Linked DNA regions of Notamacropus eugenii. The protein of the gene in region 2 interacts with the protein of the main gene of each other region in a pairwise test. Links are inferred from orthologs where the notes say so. Each region holds a gene or a part of one and is shown on either strand. Other genes may lie near its edges.

Evidence for each region.
Region 1: the proteins of VENTX (region 2) and TBX22 interact in binary tests that used the Homo sapiens proteins (3 or more experiments, as listed by UniProt). The two-hybrid records come from large-scale screens. The link is inferred for Notamacropus eugenii from reciprocal best matches to the Homo sapiens genes VENTX and TBX22.

The regions. Positions count from the first base shown.
Region 1 is NC_092879.1:76,582,111-76,589,858, reverse strand, and holds the start of TBX22 (T-box transcription factor TBX22), read right to left. Parts: upstream 3,040-7,748; 5' UTR 2,490-3,039; coding exon 2,303-2,489; intron 1,614-2,302; coding exon 1,466-1,613; intron 665-1,465; coding exon 563-664; intron 1-562. UniProt on the Homo sapiens protein: Probable transcriptional regulator involved in developmental processes. This is major determinant crucial to palatogenesis.
Region 2 is NC_092872.1:291,926,753-291,933,710, reverse strand, and holds VENTX (homeobox protein VENTX), read right to left. Parts: upstream 2,369-6,958; 5' UTR 2,326-2,368; coding exon 2,076-2,325; intron 1,546-2,075; coding exon 1,319-1,545; intron 1,200-1,318; coding exon 852-1,199; 3' UTR 614-851; downstream 1-613. UniProt on the Homo sapiens protein: May be involved in ventralization.

The DNA.
Region 1 (7,748 bases), on a different chromosome or scaffold from region 2:
ACCAAACGCCGAAGGTCCTAAGCTTAACGGTGCCAGGTCAACCCCTGAGGGAAACCTGTTCCTCTTGGCAGCCTAAGCAATGCCCATAAGCTTTGTCTTGGTTTGAAAGGGCTCAGGATTTCTCAATGCCTGGGAAGTCACTGGGTAAAGAAAAGGACAGTGGCCGATTCCTGTGGCACAACGGTGAGAGACTCAATGTCCCTTTTCCCTTCTGAGCTCTGAGGACACATGAAGGTCTCCCTTCTCCTGCTGAAGTTTCAGAGTGGCATGGGTCTCCCAAGAACTATGTGGTACCTGCCAGCACCAAGACAGGAACCTGGTCCTCAGCATGGCACCCAAGGAAGTAGCCGAGATCCCCTCCCCTCCTCATACAAGAGCCCAGACCAGAGCAAGACCAGTAGGAGCCAATGCGGCTCAGTGGAGTTGCATTGTAAAAACCTTGCTGAGGAAGAGTTTAGCTTTAACCGGCCTGTTTGTTAGGGGATCCTGGGTTCCCAAGTCAGAGCAAGCAGCCTGCCAGGTTTGTGATGTCGCTGGACTTGAGCTACCGTCCACCTTTTACCTGTATCTTTTGGAGTCCACTGGCACCACGTCAATAGCAATGTAATATTGTTTCACAGGGTCCAGCCCTTTCACTTTGACACGAACAGAAGGGAACATTCGCCTGCAGAAGAGACGGAAAGCACTCTGCTCTGTCTGGCCTTGAAAAACATTTGCCGGAGGGGAGGCTGGCTGCCTCGCTTTTCCAAGTGCGAAGGGAAGAGGATTCAGTACTAGCGGCAGAAAAGGCCTAAGCAATGTACGGGAGAAGCTTGGGAGTCCCTCTGTGCATCGGCTGAAATGTTGGTACTCTCCAGGAAGAGGAGGGCTCCCTCCCTGTGTATGATCTAACAGAGCTGCTTCCAAAAGGGAAAGGGACAAACAAGCAAAGGTTCTTTTGAATTGTTTCTGAGAGGTGAACTCTGGGAACTTTTAAATTGTGACTGAGTCGATCTGGGGCTAACCCTACACTCAACTCATTCTCTGTATTTCTGTTCCTTTGCTAAAGCAAGATGGGAGGAAAGCACACTGGGAGAATTTCGAGCTAGGTGCAAATGAGAGGATTTGGGCGAGGCACACCTCCCATCTATGGGTTTCTCCGAATCTCTCTGACCCTCGGGTGGGTAATTTACTCCCTGACCCGTGTAACTGACAGGGCTTAGAGCAATTTTACTGGCAAAGAAAGCTGCTTATTTAGAAGTGGGCTCAAGGACTGACCCTGAGAGTACCCACTGGCAAGCGGCTGCCTCTGGGCTCTCAAGGAGAAGCTGACTCCACGAGTTGGAGGTGAGCATGTGCCTCAGTACCAGGGTGAGCCTAGATAGCTCCGCAAGAGGTTCCTGCCCTGCGTGGGAGGTGTCTAGTGATGGTGCTGTCTGCCCCAGGATCCTCCTAGGTTGGGTTCTGGAAACAGGGGCCTGCCTACCTGCCGGCTTTGGTGATGATCATCTCAGTCCCAATCTCATGGAATCTCTGCCACAGCTCGGAGCCTTGGAGCTCTGCCTGGACGTTATCTTTATCTTCCGGATTTTCGGAGAAAGCAGTCGTCGAAGTTTCTACTTTGGGTCTCTTTTCTGCCCAGAGACAGAAATGGAAGGTGTTTGTGCTCCAGGTTCTCCCTTCCTGGCTGCCTCCAGCGCCTAGGACCTGTCCCCAGGACAGCAGGTCCCGGCCCATTTCACAGACCGGTACTACTGGAAGGAACCTCAATGATCATCTGTTCCAACTTCAGTTTTACAGAGGAAGAAATATGGTCAGAGAGAACTAGTAACCTGAGCAGTCACACAAATAAGGAGTCTCAGTCCGAGGCCACCTCAAGTTGCCTCCGAATGAAGTGAAGTATTTCAGGGAAGGAGACCCCCATCCTACCCCCACCGTGGTCACTGGGAAAGAATCCGCTCTTGTCCCTCAAACCCACAACACTTAGAGGGAATGAGGGGCAGCGGGGCCGCAGCTCTACTGAGCTTAAGTCCTAGCGCAGGGCCTTCCCTCTTTCATTGGCACTCCCCATGGCTGGGGAACTGTGCATCCCAAAAGGAATCTGGGGAGCTCTGTCCTAGAGGCAGGTTCTCAGTCCCTCTCAGGTTCTCCTGGCAGCTGCTCCCAGAAGTAGGCTGCCCAAAGCTATGGGACCCCCAGCCAAGGCCCTCGCCCACCCAAGATAGCCAAGGAGCCTCCCTGGGCTGGCCACCTCTGGCGTCCGCGGTGTAGCAGGCTGCTGCTGCTGTGTTTGGGGTGGGGGGAGAAGGGTGATGATACTGACCCGATTCCTCGATTTTCCTCAGCACCCGGTTTTCTCTGTCTTCCTCTTCCTCTTTTCCCTCCACATCGCCTTTCTCCAGCAGATCCTGCGGCGGCTGCTCATCCCGCAAGTCTCGGAGTTTCCTTTTGGTTGCTCTCCCCACCAAGGCTTCCACGGAGAACGCGTGAGCTCGGGAGCTCAAAGCCATCCCTGGAGGAACCAACGGAATCTACACGAGCAAGAGAAGCTTCCACTTGATCCTTGGGGGAGGGGAGAGCAGTTGGGAGTGGGGGGAGAAGGGCAGGAGGAAGTGAAGGGGAAATCCAAAAAGTCGAAAATGGAATTGTCTTTCCCCAAAATTTTCTAAAGGAGGAAAGGAGAAGAAAGATCAATATTAAGACCTGAGGCTCCTCATTATAGACTGGGGAAGAGCTGAGATTTCTGACTAAAAAAAAACACCAAAAACCTGCTCCCATCGGACATGTGGGGACCATCAGTGGTCAAATCTCCCCCCGTTCATTTTTTTTCCTAATGGTTCTACAAGATTGGCAAGGGGAGACCTGGGAGGGAGCAGCCCTGCCCTGAGGACCGGCTGGGGAGCTCCAATGGGGGCGCCGCGGCAGGCAGCCCGGGGAGAGCAGTAAGCCCGCCCGGATGCAGGCACTGAGGCAGCCCGGCCCGGCCCGCAGCCTGCAGCCTCCGCTGTTTGTTTTGGAAACTGGTGGAAGCAAAAGAGCACGCTGAGTGACATTTCAGAGCAAGGGCGGCGAGGGGGGGGAGGGGGGGAAGGGGCGGGGGGGGGAGGGAGGGGAGAAGAAGGGGGAGGAAGGGGGAGGGAGGAGGGGGGAGAGAGGGAGACGGCCTCGTCTAGGATAAATAAAAGGTTACTGTTTTACATTAAATTGTAAAACTCAAAGAAATGTGACATAATTGCCCACGAGGGGCCACTTTTCCAACAAAAGTGCAAATAGTGTTTAACCAGATCCAGAAAAATCTTCCCGGGGTTTTTGGCTAGCCAGCGCAGGCGGCTGCTGGGGGCTGATGTTCCCGGGAACAGGGGAAGGGATAACCAAACCAGGTCTAGGGGGCGGGATGGCCAGTGCACTGAACCCCAGGGCTCTCTTTCGAGCTGCCCAGGTTTGGAAGTTTTTACAAGTGCGAGCCCTAGAGCTAGAAACCATAAGCTTAGCCAGCTCCTGCCCTAATCCGGAGGCTTGAAGTTTTTGACTTGAAAGAAAAGGTCGGGAACATACATCTGCCGGAGAGAGACGTCTGCCCAAGCCTGGGGGTCATCCAACAGGGGAAGGGGGGAATCTCGCTCTTCGATAAAAGTCCTACCTCCTATGGCCCTGGTCCCAATTCGATTCTCTTTCTCACAGACAAATGATGAACCTTCAGGGTAGCAGACCTCAGCAAGCTTCTGTTATCTTCTTTCTTCTATAGTCAAGTAGTTCTGAACCAGGGGTCCAGGGACCCCCTAAGGCATCCATGGGTAGAATTCAACGAGTTCCTCAACTCAGATAAGGAAAAAATTAGATCTTTATTTTCACTTAGCTCTCAGTGAGATTTAACATTTCCTTCAATTATTTAAAAGCCCAGTTCAGAGAAGGGATCCAGAGACTTCACTAGACTGTCTAAACAGAACATGCCACAAGAAAGGCTAAGAATCCCTGATCTAGTCTTTGTGGGGAATGTACTTTTCTGCTCTCAACTGATGAGTGTACATATATCTGTATAGCTAGATGAACCAAACTCTTTCTGTGTCTGTTTCTCTCTCTCCCCCCCTCTCTGTTTCTTTCTTGTTCTCCCCTTCTATCTCTCTCTCTCTCTCTCTCTCTGCCTATCTCCCTCTCTCTCCCCCTCTCCCTTTCTCCTTCCCTCTCTCCCCATCTTCCTCTCCTCTTTTCTTTTCTCCTTTCCTTCCTCCCCCCCCCATACACACACATTTGAATCCAATATTTTAATGTGCCCTACATATCAATTCTTCAAGGATCTGTAATTTCATCAGTGGGGGAGGGGGGGAGGGAGGGGCACATCTGAATAACAAGGGCAACCTTCTATGCTTTCTAAATGTATTTCAGGATGAAAAATTATTTACCCCATAAGTCAGCTTGGTGATGATCTTCTCTGAACTTGGCTAGGCTGATTGTCAAAAGACAGAGAGACAATGTATATAACCATGTAATCATCTATGTCCGTATATATGATAGGATCATGGCTCTAGAGCTGGAAGAGAACTTAGAAGACATCTAGTCCCATCCCCTCATTTTATAAAAAAAACTGGGGCCCAGAAGTTAAGCAGTTTGCATAAGGTTACACAAATAGCAGAGCTAGAATTTGAACTTAGGTTCTACGGTTCCAAGTCTTCCCGCTGCCCCCATGTATGTAGATGACTGAAACTGAGCTTTCTCCAACCGTCTTATTGTCCTCTGACACCGCAGTCATTGAACTGCCCTTTAAAATATCTGCTGGGGGCAGCTAGGTGGTGCTGCAGTAGATAGAGTCTTAATAGAGCATTGGAGTGAGGAGGACCCAGGTGCAAATGTGACCTCTGACACTTACTAACTGTGTGACACTGGGCAAGTCACTTCATCTGGATTGCCTCCAAAATAAAATGCAATATATTCTACCTCATTTCAAAAGTGTCTAACTACAAAGTAATCACAGGTGGGAGGATCTGGTCAATGATTTCATTGCTTTAGGGAACTTTCTGACCTAGAAACTCTCCCCTACCAAGCAGATCAACAATTTATCTTTAATTGCAGTCTTTAGAGAGGTACCTGAGGCTACTCCTAAGTTAAGTGACTTGCCCATGGGCAGTCAGTTACCAATATGTCAGACCTGGATGTGAACCTAGCTAAGGTGTTACTTATTCCAAGGTTGCCTGCTTTATGCCATTTAATATACAACTGCGGTATCTGAATGATCTTGAGGAATGTGCCTGTTCACCTTATAGTCTCAGCTACGAGTCCCATTTAGTGCACATTTTTGATGTGACCTGAAACAAGACGTTTACCTTTTTACTCACTATTTTCCATGATACATCAGTGGTGGCACAGTGAATAGAGAAAATCCTGCCTCAGATCTTTATTAGCTGCGTGACCCCGAACAAGTTACTTTACCTCAGCTTCCTCACCGGGAGGGTCAAATTCAATAATATACGTAAATCTCTTTGCAAACCCTACATAATTATTTATATAAATGCTAGCTATTACATCAGTAAAAACCCCCAGCAAAACACCTTCCATGACTCTCAGTTTGATAACTTAATTCACTTGGACTATGAGGTTGCCATTTGTTTTCAGGAAAAAAATTATTATCCTTTGGTGAAGTTATCCCCAATGCTTTGTGATGGTGTGAAGGTAATCCTAGGCTCTCAAATGCTCAGCCAGGGGAGCACAAACACCAACATGTCTTTCCAAGCAGGAAAAACTTAGAATAGAGGCTGGGGATGGACCATATATCTGACATCCAAGGACCAGCCTAAGTAAGCTGAGAGATTCTCAGCACCAGGCTGGCCACAGGGTGATGAAATTAAAATTTTTGACCACAGCAACACCCTTATACCAAGTTATAAAAAGGTTACTATCTGCATTGGTTAAGGGAGTGCCTTTGAAATACTGAAGTAAAAAAAAAAAGCAGGGGTGGGGGAACTGATGTCTGGTCTGGGTTGGGAAGACAGCATTTTGGCTTTATAATGGGGAAGACAGTGTGATTGTAATAGAGAAAACCACTGGGTTGGGTGTTAAGAGGCACCCTCTTCAAGCCTTGGACTAGCCCAGTAGTCTAAGGTAAGTCATTCTCTCTGAGTCTCAATTTCTCATCTATTAGCCTCATTGATCTTTAAAGTCCCTTTAAACTCTAAAATTCTATCTCCTAATATTCTATAATATATTTCCATGTCTGCAGATAGGAGTGCCAAGTTTTATTTATGGTGTAAATGTGACCCAACATGAAGAAAATCTTGGTAAAGCTCAAGACAGATTGCTCTGACACCATTTCCTGACATGATCTTGGCCACAAATCAATGAAACTTGCTTTCTGCCAGCACAAAGTAAGGAAGGCAAAGAAGTCCTTAAGCATTCTTTCCATCCTGGCCAGAAGATGGCCTGCCCAGTGGGAACGAGTTTAGCTCTGTTTCCCTCAGGTCCTTGGACAAGGGATGGAACGGAGAAAATGTTGGGGGAATCTACAAAAATCTTCTACTCAGCCACCATGGCAAGTCTGAAAGGATCTCTTCTAAATGAAGGTTCTTGCTTGAGTTTGGTTCACATTCTTTGTAGAGGGTAGGAAGTAGCCTGAGGGGAAATGTATTTGGGCTGTTGAATTCCTGTTAAAATCAAGGCAGAAAAGTGTCTTAGCTGTTCCTTTCTGGATTAATGTTCCAGAGAGCTCTTTTTGTGGTTGGTGGGAACTGTTTTTCTTGGGGGAAAAAATCCCCCCAAAATAATGATAAGCAAATGTGAAATCTGGAGATGAGATACTTCTTACTTTGGAGCAAGCTTTACCATTCCCAATTGAATGTCTATTTGACAGCATAGCTGGAAGCAATGTAGCTAAGCTCTTCCTGTGTATATCCCAATGGGTCTGGAACCCGGGAGTAGTTTCCCGGAATTCCTGTTAACCTCTCCACCCCCAGAAAATCAGCCCCTCCGCAATAGTTTTGCAAGTTCAGCTGCAAGAGTCTTTTGCTTTCAGGTACTGGGGCTCAGTGTGGCAGATGCTCAGGTCAACAATTCATCCACCACAGCTGGATGGTCTCTTTAGCACATTGGATCTTGCTCAGCCCCAGGGCACCTATACAATTTTGGAGGAGAGAGTTTTCCAAAGGCCATGCAAACCACAGAGGAATAGTGGAAGAATACAGAACAGCCCTGGTCCACATGGATGGTCAGATTAGAGAAAAGAATGGGGAAACTGATGACAATTTGGAAATCCTCATTGTAAGATGTCATAGTAAAGGATGACTTTAGAGAGCCTGGAAAAATAAGCATGTGACATGGGGAAGTGAGACAGGATGCTGCAATGGAGGCGGGGGGGGGGGGGGGGGGGGGGAGGGGGGGAGGAGGTGATGTATTAAAGGTAGGACTACTTGGGCTCTGCAAGAGAGTCATCATGGAGTCACAATGGATAGAAAGATAGCCTGGGAGCTAGGAAGATCTGGGCCTGACATGCTGACTGTGTCATCCTAGGCAAGTCACTTAACCATTCAGTACTCTAGGCAGCTCTCTAAGATTGTAAATTGCAGAAAAGGCACTGAACTGCCTTGGTAGGGAGCATTTTCTTATCTGGGAATTCCCTCTGCCTGGAGAATTACTGGTCTAGTCCTTATTCTGGTCCCTATCTAATGTCTCTGAAGTTACAGCAGGTATGAGATGCCCCTTAAGGGACATGTGAGCTCTTGTTAGAGGTGAAATGTGAACTTGTTTAAGGATCTAAAGGCAATCCAATTAGACAAACGTTTATT
Region 2 (6,958 bases):
TAAAACCCTTGCTTTACACTATGGTTATGGTTAGAGGGGTCTCAAATTGAGTGGAGGGTATTTGTTGACTTATGGAATTCCTCCCCCAATCTGTATCCTTCTTCCCTTTTTCTCTGCTCAACCCTAACCTCCCCAAAATGTGCAGGAGCAGATCCCCCCACACCCCCAGCTTTGGCTCCTAGTGAATTCTCAGCCTAATTAATTGATGAGGATCTAACCTCTTGCCAATGAATTGAATTGGCTTAGGCACTTTTCAAGGGTCTTCCCTTCTCATTACCCCAATTGAATTGGCTCCCCCTATTACCTCCAGGTTTAGATGCTCTTCTGTTGGGTACTTTTTAAGGGTCTTCCCTTCTTATTATCCATGATGTTTTTCACACATTGGAAAAACCAAACCTCCCTCCACTTTCCATCTTCTGTCTTGGCCCTATTTTCTAAAATGCCACACTCTCCTACAGGAAAGGATGACCCTCCCTGGTCTTTCTCCCTCCCCATCTCAGCTGCTAAACCTCCCACTTTTGTAATGATTTCAAACTTGTTTTTCTTTTGGAATGAAATCTTGATCAGAAGTGGACTGGTTTCTTTCACAAATTACATATGCACACATAAGACGTTAAAAACATCAACTATTCTTTAATATTTCCATAAATAGTTCTTTCTGTACATAATAGTTTGACAAAATTTTGCAAATATATACATAAGTTCATATTTGAGGACCTCCAGTGGAACAAAGAGGACTCTTTCACCAGGTCCTGTCAGACTTTGGCTCCTAGAGATGTCCTATCCTGTCCAGTCTCATCTCTCCTTCCTCAGTATCAATGTCACCCCGAAAGAGGGGCAGGCCTCCAACGTCACAAGGCCCTCAGGAAGGAGGCCTGGTCTGGGCAACCGCTCAGTAAACAGGCCAGCACAGACGGGATGGCAGGAGGGGCCACTTTGCAGGAACTGGGGGGTAAAGGCAGAGGGAGTAGAGATGGGAGGGCCAGGCCACCAGTAAAGGGCTCCTGGATGAGGCTGGGGACTCGGAGCTGTGGCGAATTGGGGTACACGTATGGCAGGCCTGGTGGCGGGACTGGTGTAGAGCGCAGAAGCAGGGGGCTGTAGAGATGGAGGGGGAAGCCTGGAGGAGGGTCGGGGGGCCTCAAATCCTGCAGCTGGCGCTTCAGCTTCATGCGGCGATTCTGGAACCAGGTTTTTATCTGCGGGAGCCCAACAAGTCAAAGTCAAGTTGAGCATCGCCGCAGGCTGGCGGCAGAACCGGGGCTCGAGGGGTGGGGTGGAATGGAGTGGGGAGCCCCCCCCCTGCCCGTCTGGGTACCTGAACTTCTGACAGCTGCATCTTGCCGGCCAGTTTGCGCCTCTCCGCAGCGCCCAGGTAGTGGTGGCGTTTGAAGGAGCTCTCCAGAGTGCTGATCTGCTTGGTCGTAAAAGCCGTGCGCAGGCGGCGAGCGCCCCGGGAATGGGGTTCAGGGCCTGGGCCCTCCGACAGCCCGCAGCTGCCACTGTTGACCTCAGGGGAAGCCTCCTCGCCCAGAGACCTGGATTCTTGGGAGAGAGGTGAGGCGGCGCTTAGAAAGTCTAGGCCTTCCCACCTAGACATGTCGGCACACCCTCACCGAGGGCCTGAGCTTCGGCTCTGGTAGGGAGGTCAGGAATATCTTCAAATGACAACTAGCTCTCGTAGGGATGGGTCAATTAGGGCAGGCTGGTAGGCTAAGTGCTTCCTTACTGGTCAAAACACGTGGCCCTGAGTGGCAAGGAGTTCCCCAAATGCCTCGCCCCCTAAAGACAACTTGAACCTGACCTCCGCGCTCCTGGCTTCTGGTGGAAAGGCTATCCAACAGGAATCGGACTTTCTCGGAAGCAGCAAGTCCCCCTGTTGGGCTGGCCTGGTCCAGTCCAGTCCAGTCCAGTGCTGTCTCCCTTGTCCCTTCCAGTCACCCTGGCCCTTGGCCCGCCTTCTCTCTTCTTCCCCTCCAAACACAGCCCTTTTCCGTGTGTTATGGTTTTCCTCCACACCCCATTCTAGTTCGGGGTCTCCTCTATTGACCACCACACCTGGAGAAAGCACTTACTGACTAAGGAAGACTCTCTGACAACGGCGGCGGCGGCGGCGGCGGCGGGTAGCGTCGGGACCCACGAACTCGTAGAAGGGCCTTCTGACCCCGAGGTATCAGGAAGGCCCGATAAAATAAGATCCCCCCCAAGGACCTGGTCGCCTCGGCCTTTCCCTGCAGTGGAAGCCTCTGAGTCATCTTGGCCGAGGCGTGAGGGCTTCTGGCTGCTCTGAGAGAGCCATTCCACAGAAAATGGGGCCTTCGTCATTATGAGACTGGTGGGCACCAAAAAGGATGGACTTTAACTCTCCTGGGAGCGCCAGGGTGAAACTTATATAAGCTGCGGGGCCGGCTGAGGGCCCACCCCCCAATCTGGCTTGCATAAACAAACCTCAAAGGCTCCGATAAGTACCACCTAATTGTCCTACATTCAGCCCCACCCCGGGGGCCCTTCGCACTTCTGCTGGCTCCTAGATGTCTGAGTTCCTTCTCCGGGTGGTTACGTCCCAGTAGTTACATCCTCCTTTCCCCCCCCGCCCCCCCCCGAACCCTCCCTCCTCCCCCAGAGGACTCCTTAGTTCTCCCCCACTTATCTTGGCCCAAAGAGGATGCCGAGAAAATGGCTCCTCCAGGTCTCCCTCCCTTAAAGTCCGTTGGACTGGAGGCTTCTGTCTAGTTCAGTCAATAAATAGTTTAAAAAAACCTTTGTTAAGGGCCTACTTTGTTCTAGGTACTCTGTTAATACTGCAAGGAAAGACTAGCTGCAGATCCTTCCCCGGAAAGTCCCACTTCTTTAGTCCAGCCATTCTCCCAAGGAAATACATGCTACAATTTGGGCAGAGAACATGCCTATAAATGCAGGTATAACCCAGTCACTGACCTGGTTTGTGGGTTAGGTTGGGGGCTTCCAGAGGGGCCTTAGAGTCCAACCCATATAATAAAACCAATGGAAAGGACACTTCTGCGTACTCCTCTAGAGTTAATATTCATCCTTTCCCCTAGGGATGCACATCTACAAATATATGCATTTACACATCGTTGTTCCTTCCTGTCTAACTCGTTGTGACCCCATGGACCATACTATCCATGGGGTTTACTTGGTGAAGATCCTGGGGGGGATTTTAACATTTCCTTCTCCAGTGCTCTCATGGGCATGCACACTTAAGAAGCTAACTCTTCTATCTCTCTACTATTTCCTTAGTGATCTCATTAGCATCCAAGTATTCAGGTCTCATCTTTATGCTGGTGATTCTCAGACCGATTTATCCAGTCCTAACCTTTCTGCTGACCTTCAGTCTGTCTCCAACTGCTTCTTATGATGTATGTCCGGTAGAAATCTCAAACTGAACTGATTACCTTCCTCCTCAAACTCGCCCCTTCCAGATTCCAAACTTCCCTGTCACTCAGCAGGGCATCCCCATCCTCATATCCTAGGTGTCATTTTCAGCTCCTCATTCTCTCTCACCCCCCATATCCAATCGATTACCAGGCCTATTGGTTTTACTTTTGTCACATCTCTCACATATGCCCCTTTCTCTCTGACAGCACCTCCACCCTGGTGCAAGTCCTCATCACCGAACACCTGGATGACTGCACTAGTTTTGGTCTGTCTGCTGGTCTCTGCTTACTCCAGTCCATTCTTCTCTTGTGATCTGTGAAAGTGACCTTTGTAAATCACAGCTCTGACTAATCACGGCTCACCCTTACCTCCACGATCAAATATAAAATCTTTTCTTTGTCACTTAAACCTTTCATAAGTTGCCCCTCCTGCTTTTCTAGTTATCTTCCACATCACCTCCTTGAGAGAGAGAGAGAGAAGGAGAGAGAGAGAGAAAGAGAGAGAGAGAGAGAGAGAGAGAGAGAGAGAGAGAAAGAGAAAGAGAGAGAGACATTATGATGCAGTGGTACAGCCTGAACTGACCCTGTCCTCTTAGCTCTGGGCATTTTCCAGGCAGTCCCAAAACCCTGGTTGGTCTTCCAATTCACCTTTGCCTCAGGGCTTTCCCTGGTTTCCTTGAAGTCCCAAGTAAAAATCCCTCCCTCTCCAGGAAGTCTTTCCCCATGTTATTTCCTATTTATTTGGCACCGAGGTTATCTGTGCATGTTTGCTTGTAGCTTCCTGCATTGGACCATGAGCTCCTTGAAGTCAGGGACCATCTTTTACCTTTCTTTGTATCTCCAACACTTAGCACAGGGTATAGCACATAGTAGGTGCTTACTGTTTATTGATTTGTATGTATCTATGTATACATTTGAATTCTGCTCCATCCTATCCCTTGTTCTGTGTGAGTTCTCAGCATGTCCTTTCACCCCCCTCTTGGGCTGGACCTCAGCTTCACCACCTGGACAATGGGTAGGCACAAGGGTTAGATGGTAGAGGTTGGGGGAGGGTGGTTCTTCAGGTCCTGATGGAAGCCTGTGATCCTGGTCAACCAGAGTAAGGAGCTTCTCAAGAAGAATGTTGACAAGCTAGACCTGGGGAGGAATACAGCAGACTAGAAGGAAATGAAACAAAACAAAGACAATGACAAAAAAGAGTGAATATGGGAGTAAGTAAAAAATACTGAGACTTAGTGGAAAGAGTCAGATGACAGGGATTCAGACCCTGGTTCTGTCTCTTAATGCAGTTCATGTGATCATGTTGTTTAACTTTGAAGTGGGTGCCTCAATTTCTTCATCTGTAGAGTGGGAAGATCGAACTGGAAGACCTCAAGGATCCCTTCTAACTCCAGATCTGTACTCCTGTGATCTTGGAAAGTAAAAGCTAAGGAGAAAGGACCAAAGTACAGTGCTGCTTTGGGATCACTACCCCAAGGGCTAAAGTTCTTTTTTGACTGTGATTGTGACAACTGTCCAATGGAAGGGTTGAATGAGAGAATAGCTGGGAGTCCTTCCAGGTCTAAAATTCTGGGATTTTGTGTCAGCCTGGGTTCTTAAGCACTAAATTAGGTGTGTGTGTGTGTTTAGAATTTGACTAATTACATCCTGGGGGAGAGATCGCCCTTATTTCTGGAGACAGTTCCTGGTGTAGTCAAAGAACAGGCTTCTGACATCCTCAGAAGATACAAGACTGTTGGATGTCCCTGTCACTGCCAGCAGAGAGTATGGGGGCAGTTAAAAGGGACCTGGAGTCTCAGGTCCACATCTAGCTGGTGAGGGTTAGCCCAAAGGTGAGGAAGGCAGTTCACTCTTACTTGGCCAAGCTCTCCTGGGTGTCCTGGGGGTCTTAAGACCATTCTCAGAGTGTCGTGTTTTAACCTAGCAGAAGGTGAGGCAGAAATCAACCCCATTTAATACCTAATTGTGGATGGATCTCTCCCCTCCCCCCAGCTGGGGCCCCAGGCTTGTCAGAATAATCACAGCCTCTGGTTGCAATTTTGCAAAGCACTTTGCATACATTATCTCATTAGAGATAAAGTGATTGAATTGTTAGCCTGCCCTTTTGGAAGGGCCTGGGAAGACCCAGCCTGATAATCATGTGCATTTTCACAGCTTTAACCATTTTCTTACCAACTTGTAGAAAATGGAGGCTGTGCTTGGGAGGGGATGAAGGGTCACACAGCCAGCATACCAATCTTCTTCTCCCCATCCCATCCACAAACAGAATACTGTGCCTGTGGTCAGTGAAATGCTCTGGGGCACCCAGCAGTGACACCAAGCAGAACCAAGGAGTGATCTGAAAAAGGCTTATCCGGGGCTGAGTGGCCCATCACAGGCACTTAGGAAAGGCTTATAAGCACATTTATTTATTGGACAGCTCCAGTGTGTTTGAAAGGACACCTTAAGGCCTTCCTTGTGTTGACTCCATGGAGGGGAGGAGGAGGAATTTAGAAGCAGCTTTACCTTCTCTGGTGGGCACCTGGGCAAGATAGGCAGAGGGGCCGGAGACCAAGGCCAAAGCAACCCATTCACTGATTGTGGATTTCCAGTGGAGCCACTTCCCAGGATTCCTGGTCCTAGGGGTGACGGCCAGAGGATCAGCCTTGGAATCTGGGCTGGAAAGGAATGAGACCATTGTTTACTTCCCAGACTAATGGGATTTCGAAGCCTAATTGTTTTAGTAGTGGGGGGGCCTAGCCTATCTCTCCCAGAGGCTGCGGTGGAGCTAGGACTATGGGACACAGTCACCTATCCTAGAAAGGTGAGGAGGGGAGAAGGGGGAGGTGGTTCTTTCTCTTCTTGTATGAGTGGAAGGTAGTGTGGCTCCCTCTACTGGATGTAACACTCCTGAACTCAGTAGAGAAAGTGGGAAATGATTCCTACGAAGCACCACCTGTGGCCAGCACTGCTGTGATATTTGTCAGGGTAGGGACCCCTGTGCCCCCTTCCCCACTTCAGAGTGCGAGTCTTTTCAAGGTATAGAGGAAGCTCAGGGAGGTGAGCCTGTGGGCTTTGAAGCCAGGTCTGACTCCCAGCCCTTCACCTCATCTCTGTCTGTCTGTCCTGTCCTGACCTACCTGACCGCCTGCTCCTCTTCTATAGGTGGTCCAATGAGATGGAGTCAATGTGACCCCTGACACGTGCTAGCTTTGTGACTGCGATGCTGCTCAAATCACTTAACCTCTGTCTGCTTAAGTTTCCTCAGCTAAAAAATGGGGAGAATAACAGCGTCTCTATCTTGAAGGGCTGTGATGAGGATAAAGCGAAATGACATTTGTAAAGCATTTGGGCGGCGAGGTGGGCCTAACCCTAAATGCCTCAGCTAGAAAACTGAGCCTTGACTCTGGAGTTGCAGAGTTCAAATTCCACCTCAGGCAATTACTAGCTGTGTGACCCCAGGCAAGCCACCTCATTCTGTTTGCACATAGTAGGTAACTTGTAAAGACTAATTGCTATAATTATTACCATAATATTGGCTCTCCTAGAGTTCTGGAGACCACACATGTACAGAGAAGTCCACA